Linked DNA regions of Macaca mulatta. The protein of the gene in region 1 interacts with the protein of each later gene in a biochemical or structural test. Links are inferred from orthologs where the notes say so. Each region holds a gene or a part of one and is shown on either strand. Other genes may lie near its edges.

Evidence for each region. The genes of interacting proteins can lie anywhere in the genome.
Region 2: the proteins of AGO2 (region 1) and DICER1 form a complex in vitro, tested with the Homo sapiens proteins (2 studies listed by BioGRID and IntAct). The link is inferred for Macaca mulatta from reciprocal best matches to the Homo sapiens genes AGO2 and DICER1.

Annotation. Positions count from the first base shown.
Region 1 is NC_133413.1:150,959,942-150,963,653, forward strand, and holds the start of AGO2 (protein argonaute-2), read right to left. Parts: upstream 2,923-3,712; 5' UTR 2,755-2,922; coding exon 2,733-2,754; exon of another isoform or gene 2,682-2,732; intron 1-2,681.
Region 2 is NC_133412.1:168,447,283-168,451,026, forward strand, and holds the start of DICER1 (endoribonuclease Dicer), read right to left. Parts: upstream 2,384-3,744; 5' UTR 2,245-2,383; exon of another isoform or gene 2,084-2,244; intron 1-2,083. UniProt on the Homo sapiens protein: Double-stranded RNA (dsRNA) endoribonuclease playing a central role in short dsRNA-mediated post-transcriptional gene silencing.

The sequences.
Region 1 (3,712 bases):
CAGTCACGTTTCTAACTTCAGATTCTAAATAGCATTCACATATGTAATAGCATTTGTTTGTGATTGGTATAATGTAGAGCTATTGTGAACTGTTTTTTAAATTAGTAAGTTGCCTAATAAGGGTGTTACAATTGGAAGTAGCAAAACTATTTGTAATTTTTCTTTTCTTTTTTTTTTTTCTTGAGACAGAGTCTCACTTTGTCTCCAGGCTGGAGTGCAGTGGCGCCCTCTTGGCTCACTGCAACCTCTGCCTCAAGAGTTCAAGCGATTCTCCTGCCTCAGCCTCCCCAGTAGCTGGGACTACAGGCGCGCACCACCGCGCCCGGCTAATTTTTGTATTTTTAGTAGAGACAGGGTTTTCATCGTGTTGGCCAGGATGGTCTCAATCTCTTGACCTCGTGATCCACCCGCCTTGGCCTCTCAATGTAATTTTTCTATAATTCAAATGGAATGTCTTATAATTCTAAATTAGAAAATATAAGATTAAAAAGAGTCTCAACGAAGACTATTCCAAAAATTCCTTTTACACAAAATTAAAAGCCTTAATGTGTAGCATAAAATTGAACTGCACCACAGACTTATAATTACAGCACGTTTATACAACCTGAAACTTGGGTTCATTCCCATCCTGCCATTAGCTATGAATTATCCTGCAGACACATTTATTCTTTCAACCACTGTCCTGTTCCAGAGGGTCCGCTCCCTACCAGGCCCACACCACAGCAACAATCTCCAAACAGCAGCGAGTGACAGAAACAAGCCTGCGGATCCTGAGGGCCAAGGTACACTGACAAATGAAATCGACAAGCCAGCGTCCCAGGGCAGAGCACACAGTAAAGAACAGCAGTGAGCTGGGGTTGCTTCCTGAAGCCTCACTGTCAATGACAAGTAGGCGGGCAGGTGCTGGTCCAGTCCAGCCCTAACAGACACTTCTTGCTGTGGGTCTGGGTTATAGGGCCTGAAAGGCACTGCCCTGAGGAAGGCACCCAGAGAACCAGCTCGGAAGTCCGACTGATGGTCCCAACACTCACTCACTGCTGCGTGACCTTGGTGAAGTTCTCAGCTTCTCTGAGCCCTGACTGTCTGTCTTCACAAACACCAGCAACCTCCGCAAGCGGAGCGAATTAACTAACACGCAAAACACAACACGGAAAGCTTGACCTTCCTCAAGGCTCTTCACTTTTTCTGGGCCTCCAACTTTTAAAACTGATAACCTGAACAAATGTGCTGTCAGTCCCGTGTGTGCTGTGTTCCTCTATAGGAAGGAGCTGGAAGGTCCCAACTCACACAAGGGGATGCCCGGTCCCTTCCCACGAGGGCGCCTGGCCACTCAGGGCCTCCAGAGGCCAGCATCTGCTCCAGGACTGTGGCCCTCCCAGGTGTAGGGGGAAAATCATTCTTCAAACTGCTGATAGCCCTCATGGCTTGAAAAGTTGGTCAGACTCCGCCTTGTTGAAGCTTTCTAAATGACATCAGAAAAAAGACGCGACATTCGCAAGGCACAGAGCCAACAGCCTCAGCAGTGGGGGCCCCCATCAACGGACCCAGGTGGGCCAGGGGGCCTCCCGGGCCGCACAAGTTGGGGCCGGTCTGCAGCAGCGAGGGCAGCATCGGGAATGCGAGCCTCCTCACCGGCCGGGTAAACATAAGCCCCGAGCCTGGCGAGGCTGCGGCCCGACTGGGGCCCAGCGGACAAAGGGGAGCAGGCGGTGCCCCGTCCCAGCGGCCAGGCCGGCCGGGAGAGCCAGGAGCCACGTGCCTGGTGGGAGCACGCCAAAAGCAGTACAACACTTGACCGTTTTCTCGGCCCAGCAAGGAAACCGCCTTCTACTCTGCATTTAAAAAGAAAAACAATGCGTTACTGCTTTAAGTTTTTTAGAACTTTTCCAGAGAAAGGCCGACTAGCAACAAGGGGTGCTACAGGAATCCACCTCGCCTCACCTCTCCTAGGAAATTGTAAAAGGAATTAGCACTTGAATGGGGAGGCCGGCGTGTCTGGAATGAGAACGAGCCGCGCACGCAGTTTGAGGGTTCCGGGGAGCCGCGTCCTCCCCCTTCCAGGCGGCAGTCCTAACTACAGGAATTGGCCAAAATTCAGCATTTCCAGACTTTCCTTGGGAAAAGGGGCCGAAGAAGTGCTGGCGGCAAGAATCTTGGACCACAGCGGAGCGCGCCTCAGACTCGCGGCGGCTGGGGTCGGGACCGGCGCAGCCCCCTCCCCTCCCGGCCGTGCGCGCCCCGAGCCGGGCGCCCCGAGCCGGCCTCCACCCCCTCGGGCGCTTAGGGCCGGGCCAGGCCGGGCTGCGGCGCCCCCATCCCCGCGCGGGCAGCGAGGCCGGGCCAAGCGGGGCGCTCCGGGCCTCGGGCCTACACGCGCCGGCAGCCTCGGCCCCGGCCCCAGCCCGCCGGGCCCCGGGCGGGGGATGCGGACGCTGGGACGCGGGCCCGAGGCGCGGGAGGGGCCCAGGCCGCGCGGGGCGCCCCGACGACTCGCGGGGGCCGAGGAGGCCGGGGCTGCGCGTCCAACGCGGCGCCGAGAAAACGGCCGGCCCGGCCCCGCCGCCGCCGCTCCCCGAGCCCCCAAGCCCGGCCCCGGCTCGCCCGCCCCCGGCCCCCGCCGCCCCGACCCCGCGGCCCCCCGATCCCCGGCCCCCGCCGCCCGCGCCGGGCCCGCCAACCACGGGCAGGAGCGCGCGAACGGCCGGGCGGGCGCCCCGAGCGCGAGGACTCACCGGGGCCGGCTCCCGAGTACATGGTGGCGCCGCCGAGGGGCTCCGGGGCCGAGGGGCGGCCGCGCGCGCGCCACGGGCCCCGACGCCGCGAGCCGCGAGGGAGCCGCCGGCCGCACGATCCGCCCCGGCGCGGCCGCCTCTCCAAACAGGTTTACCCGACGCGGCCGGGGCGGCGGGCGGAGGCGGCGGCGGGAGCGGGAGCGGGAGGGCGGGGGAGGAAGGAGGAGGGGGAGGGGAGGCGCGGCCGGCGGCGGGAGCGCGCTCGCGGGGGGAGCGGGGCTGGGCGCGCGGGCGGGGGCGGCGGCGGCGGCGGCGCCGGGTCTGGCGGGGCCTGGGGCGGGGACCCGGGGAGGGGCCTGGGGACCTGGCCGGGCGGTGGGAAGCGCGGGCGGGAGCGGGGACGAGGGCCGAGGGCGGCGCGGCCCGGGTGGCGCGGGGGCGGGCGCGGCCCCGGGGACCCTTCCCCGCCGCCCGGAGAAGCCGCGTCTTCCCGACGGGGAGGAGCCGGGCCCCCTGGCTGTGCCGCCGGAGCGGGGTCGCCCACGCGCCCTCGCCTTCCCCGCCGCCCCCGGGGGCAGGAACCCTCCCCCGCGAGCCCCTCGGCCCCCAGCCTGGCTCTTTAAGTTACTACAGAAACACGGAGGTCGGGAAGCTGCCTCCCAGCCCGGAGCTTGAACTTGAACGCGGCCGGCCGCTCGCGCAGGACCACACCGCCACCTCCCGGCGCGGCCCCAGAACCCAGCTAATCCGTTTACAGCAGTTAGAAAGTCCAAGAAGTTTTTAGTGCATTGTAGCTGGTATCAGGGATCAGATCAGCGGACATGCCCATTCCAGCAGTCGGGGCCTCCTCGGAACGTCGTGCGCCTCCGAGCGTTTCTGTGCCGTCCCGCTGGGTCCGTCTGGTTTTTCGGCGGCTTTCCTGGAAAAGCCAGCCTGTGGTTACCTCCTTTCTCCCCTGAGTGGCGGGGGATTAGAAGGCA
Region 2 (3,744 bases), on another chromosome or scaffold:
TGGAGTAATAATCAGGGACTTTTAGTTTCCTCGCCTGTAAAACAAGGGCAATATTGAGTTGATCGCAGGGTCACAGTAAGGATTAGAAGAGAATGTATGTAGAACCTGAAACATCTTGGCACATAACAAGGAAGCACTCAATAACATGTTTCCCTTATCTCCTTTGCCATGAGCAAGTGGAAATGTGACCACGACAAGGTAGGGTCGCAAGTGAAAGAATGTCTACGAAATACCTACCTTCTCAAATGAAACAAGCTCCTCACATGTCAGATAGTGGTAGAGAATAAAACATCGCAACGCCACAAGTCACCCTCTATAGAAGGTAGCACTACAAGTACTGTACAACCCACTATGTGACACCACAAAATCACCGTCAAATAAGAATCATGAGCCACATCAAAAGAAAATGTCTTCTAAAACCAAGACAATAAAGCTCAATAATAGCAAAACCACCCTGTTACCCAACTCACACACTGAGCCAGCAGCAAAATACAGCAGTCAGGGCTCACCCTTCAAACATGAGATGGAAGCACAAAAAGTAAAGCAGGCCCTCACTAAAAAGGATTGTAGGAAAATGTCTTTTCTCCCCACATAAAAATGGACTAACTGTTCTTTTCTTAAAACAGCATTTTGGTGCCATGAGTAAATCTATAAACATATGTTACCATGATCAATGTTTACAGTGACCATGTTAAAAGCAATCTTTAGTTTTTTGTTTTTTTAATCTATTGAGTTTTATGGAATATGCCCTAAAATGAAGTTTTGAATGTATATAGCACATATTACATATAATACACACGTGCCACAGGTAGCCTTAAAGTAGACTTTGCAAAATAAACCGGCTATTCCGGAACCTAATTCCCAAAGATATCAATAATATCGAAAATTACTATTCTTTAGGACCTGGCTTATCCCGAACCCATCTTTTAGTAAACTGAGTTTTTTGGTAAGGATGTATATTTTTATTTAGAAAACTTAACGCTTACACCAATACATTTTCAATATAGCTAACCTGTTTTAAAAGCACATTTTTAACAATATTTTCCGAGTTACTTAACTCCTAACCTGAGTCCTTTTCCACTGACTCAAGACAAGCACCACGAAGACACCTGACAATCAGGATTGTAAAGATTCAGAATATTCGAAGACAGAAGCATAGACGTCCAAGTGATCCTCGTTCATCAGATGAATGTTTTTAAAATCTGAAAGTCCTAAGAACACTTACTTATCGTGTAGACCAGTAACGTGTCCCTTTAACCACAACTCTCTCCACAAAAGCACTGAGTGAACACTACACACCAAGGACCCTCCACTCATCTCCACGTTTCCGCAGATCTTCAGGATTCTAAGGACACACTCAGTGGTTTGCTAGCTCTGACCTCCAGGCAGAGCCATCAGGGCGACTCAGCTTTTCTGGACAATCTACATAAATCTGATGTGCTAACTTAAAACATACTCTGATTTCCCCAAAATCAAAAACCCTGAAGAAAGGCTCCTCCGCAGGGTCTGGGCATGTTGGCACAAAAACATCTGAGGGGAGAGGAAAAAGAATGGCCTCGGCCCCGCCCGCCCCCCCCGGGCTCCGATCTGGTCCCCTGACAGTAATCACACAGGACCCTCCCGGGAGGGACCTAGAGCCCGACTTCGTCCCCTCCGAGCGCGGCGCAGCGGCCCCATCACAGGAGGGCCCCAGGGTGCTCCGGCTGGCAGGGCGCGTGTCTCCACCTCCGCTGTTCCTGCGCCACTTTCGCGCGCGTGACGGGACCTGTCAAGAACCCCCTGGCCTCGCCAGGCCGGGGAGTGGGCAGGCGCCGGCGTCCCCCACCACGCCACGGAGGTCCGGAGAGTCTCCCAGGGCTGCCTCGCGCTGAGGCGCCGGGGTTGGCAGACACCGGGTCCACAGGCCGCGCTGCGCGGGACGACGAGGCAAGCGAGGCCGCGCCCTCCACCAGCACCCGCCAGGCCCGGACGCGCGGCCCGGGCCCATGGCCGGCACGCGGGCCTCAGCGCGGAGGCGGGAGCGCGGCTGGGCTTGCCGCTCCCGGCCCCGGACACAAAGCTGCTCCGCGGGAGCCCGCCTCACCTGCAGCACGGGGCGCCGCGGGCCTTCGAGAACCATCGGACCCCGCTCCGGCGCGCGCGTCACAGCCCAGGCCTCCCGGAGCCGCCCGGCGCCGCCGCCCCCGCCGCCATTTCCTCGCGCTAGCCGTTGCCTCGTCCCCGCTGTCAGGTTACTCCATTCACCTGGGCCTGCAGCAGCCTGCGCCGCGCCTCCGCCTCGACCCCTCCCGCCGGCCCCTGCGGAGACTGCGCAGCGCCCGGCTGGCCCGCAGCCTGCGCACGGCCCGCGGCAACGGCGCACAGCCGCTTGGAGAATCCCACTGGCGCCCGCGCCGCCCCTCCGCGCCCCCACGCTCCGCTCGCCCCGTGGCGGCATGAGAGCGAGCCTGTGATTGGACAGGGCCCAGCGGTGAAAGGTTAATCCCGGCCCCCCAGCCATTCAGGAGCAGGGAGACAGCGGGTGTGCGCGCCGAGGCCGAGGCGGTGTTTGCGGCCCAGTGCCGAGACTGGACCCTAGTGGCGTGGAGTCTTTGGGGCCCTCGGGAACCCGCGGGCCGAGGCCGGCTAAGTTTGGCTGACTATCTCAGCTCTCGGAATTCGACTGCCTCCATTGTTGCCCCTTCTGGCACCCACAGACCGTAACGTGGCCGTAATTGTTCCCCAGAGAGCCTAGCTTCTCTCTGAGCACCTCCCTCCCCTTTTTAAAGTACCTTCCCACTCGCCTGCGTTTCCCCGCGTTAGTGGTGCAGGGGCCTTCGCATTTGGGGAAATAACAAACACCCACTTCCGCCCCCCCACCCCAACTGGGATCCCCAGATAATGAGAAATAGACGGTGGCCCTCTGTATGTACACTGATCATTTGCATAGGTCGGAACCACCCACCACATCTCGTAGCTAGGAGTTAAAATATCGGTGGGAGTTACATAAGTGACTGGCTTAAAGAACATTGTCTTAATTTATCCCCCAAATGTAGACATCTGTTCGGTGGACTCCCTGATAGGCCGGTTTGCTCCAGGTGAGGTGTGCTCACAGCAACTGCAACCGTGTTGCTTTCAGCCCATGGGCGTGAGCAGAACCTACTCTGCGCCGGTGCTGCCTGGGCTGTGCTGTTCAGTTTGGGGCCACCAGCCCCGCATGGCTCCTGAGCACTTAAAGTATGGCTAGTCCGAATCGAGGTGTATGCGTTCTTTACCAAATAATGTTCAAAAAATTGTTACATGTTGAAGTGATAAACGTTTTTTGATATATTGAGATCAATATATCAAAATATATAAAAATATCAGTTTTATTTATTTTTTAGTGTGGGTCCTACAGAATTTTAAATGTCATCTGTGGCCTGCATTATATTGCCATTGGACAGGCTGATATAGGGCTTGCATGCCTGTGATCCTCACGTGCACTCTGTAAGGTAGGTGCTTTAACTGTGTGCACATTGTGAGACAGGTGCTGAAACTGCTTCCTTTTTTTTTTTTTTTTTCTTTTGAGACAGAGTCTCGCTCTGTCGCCAGGCTGGAGTGCAGTGGCAGGACCTGGGCTCACTGCAATGGGCTCACTGCAATCTCCGCCTCCCAGATTCAAGTGATTCTCCTGCGTAAGGCTCCTGAGTAGCTAGTATTACAGGGGCCTGTCACCACACCCAGCTAATTTTTGTTATTTTTAGTAGAGACGGGGTTTCATCATGT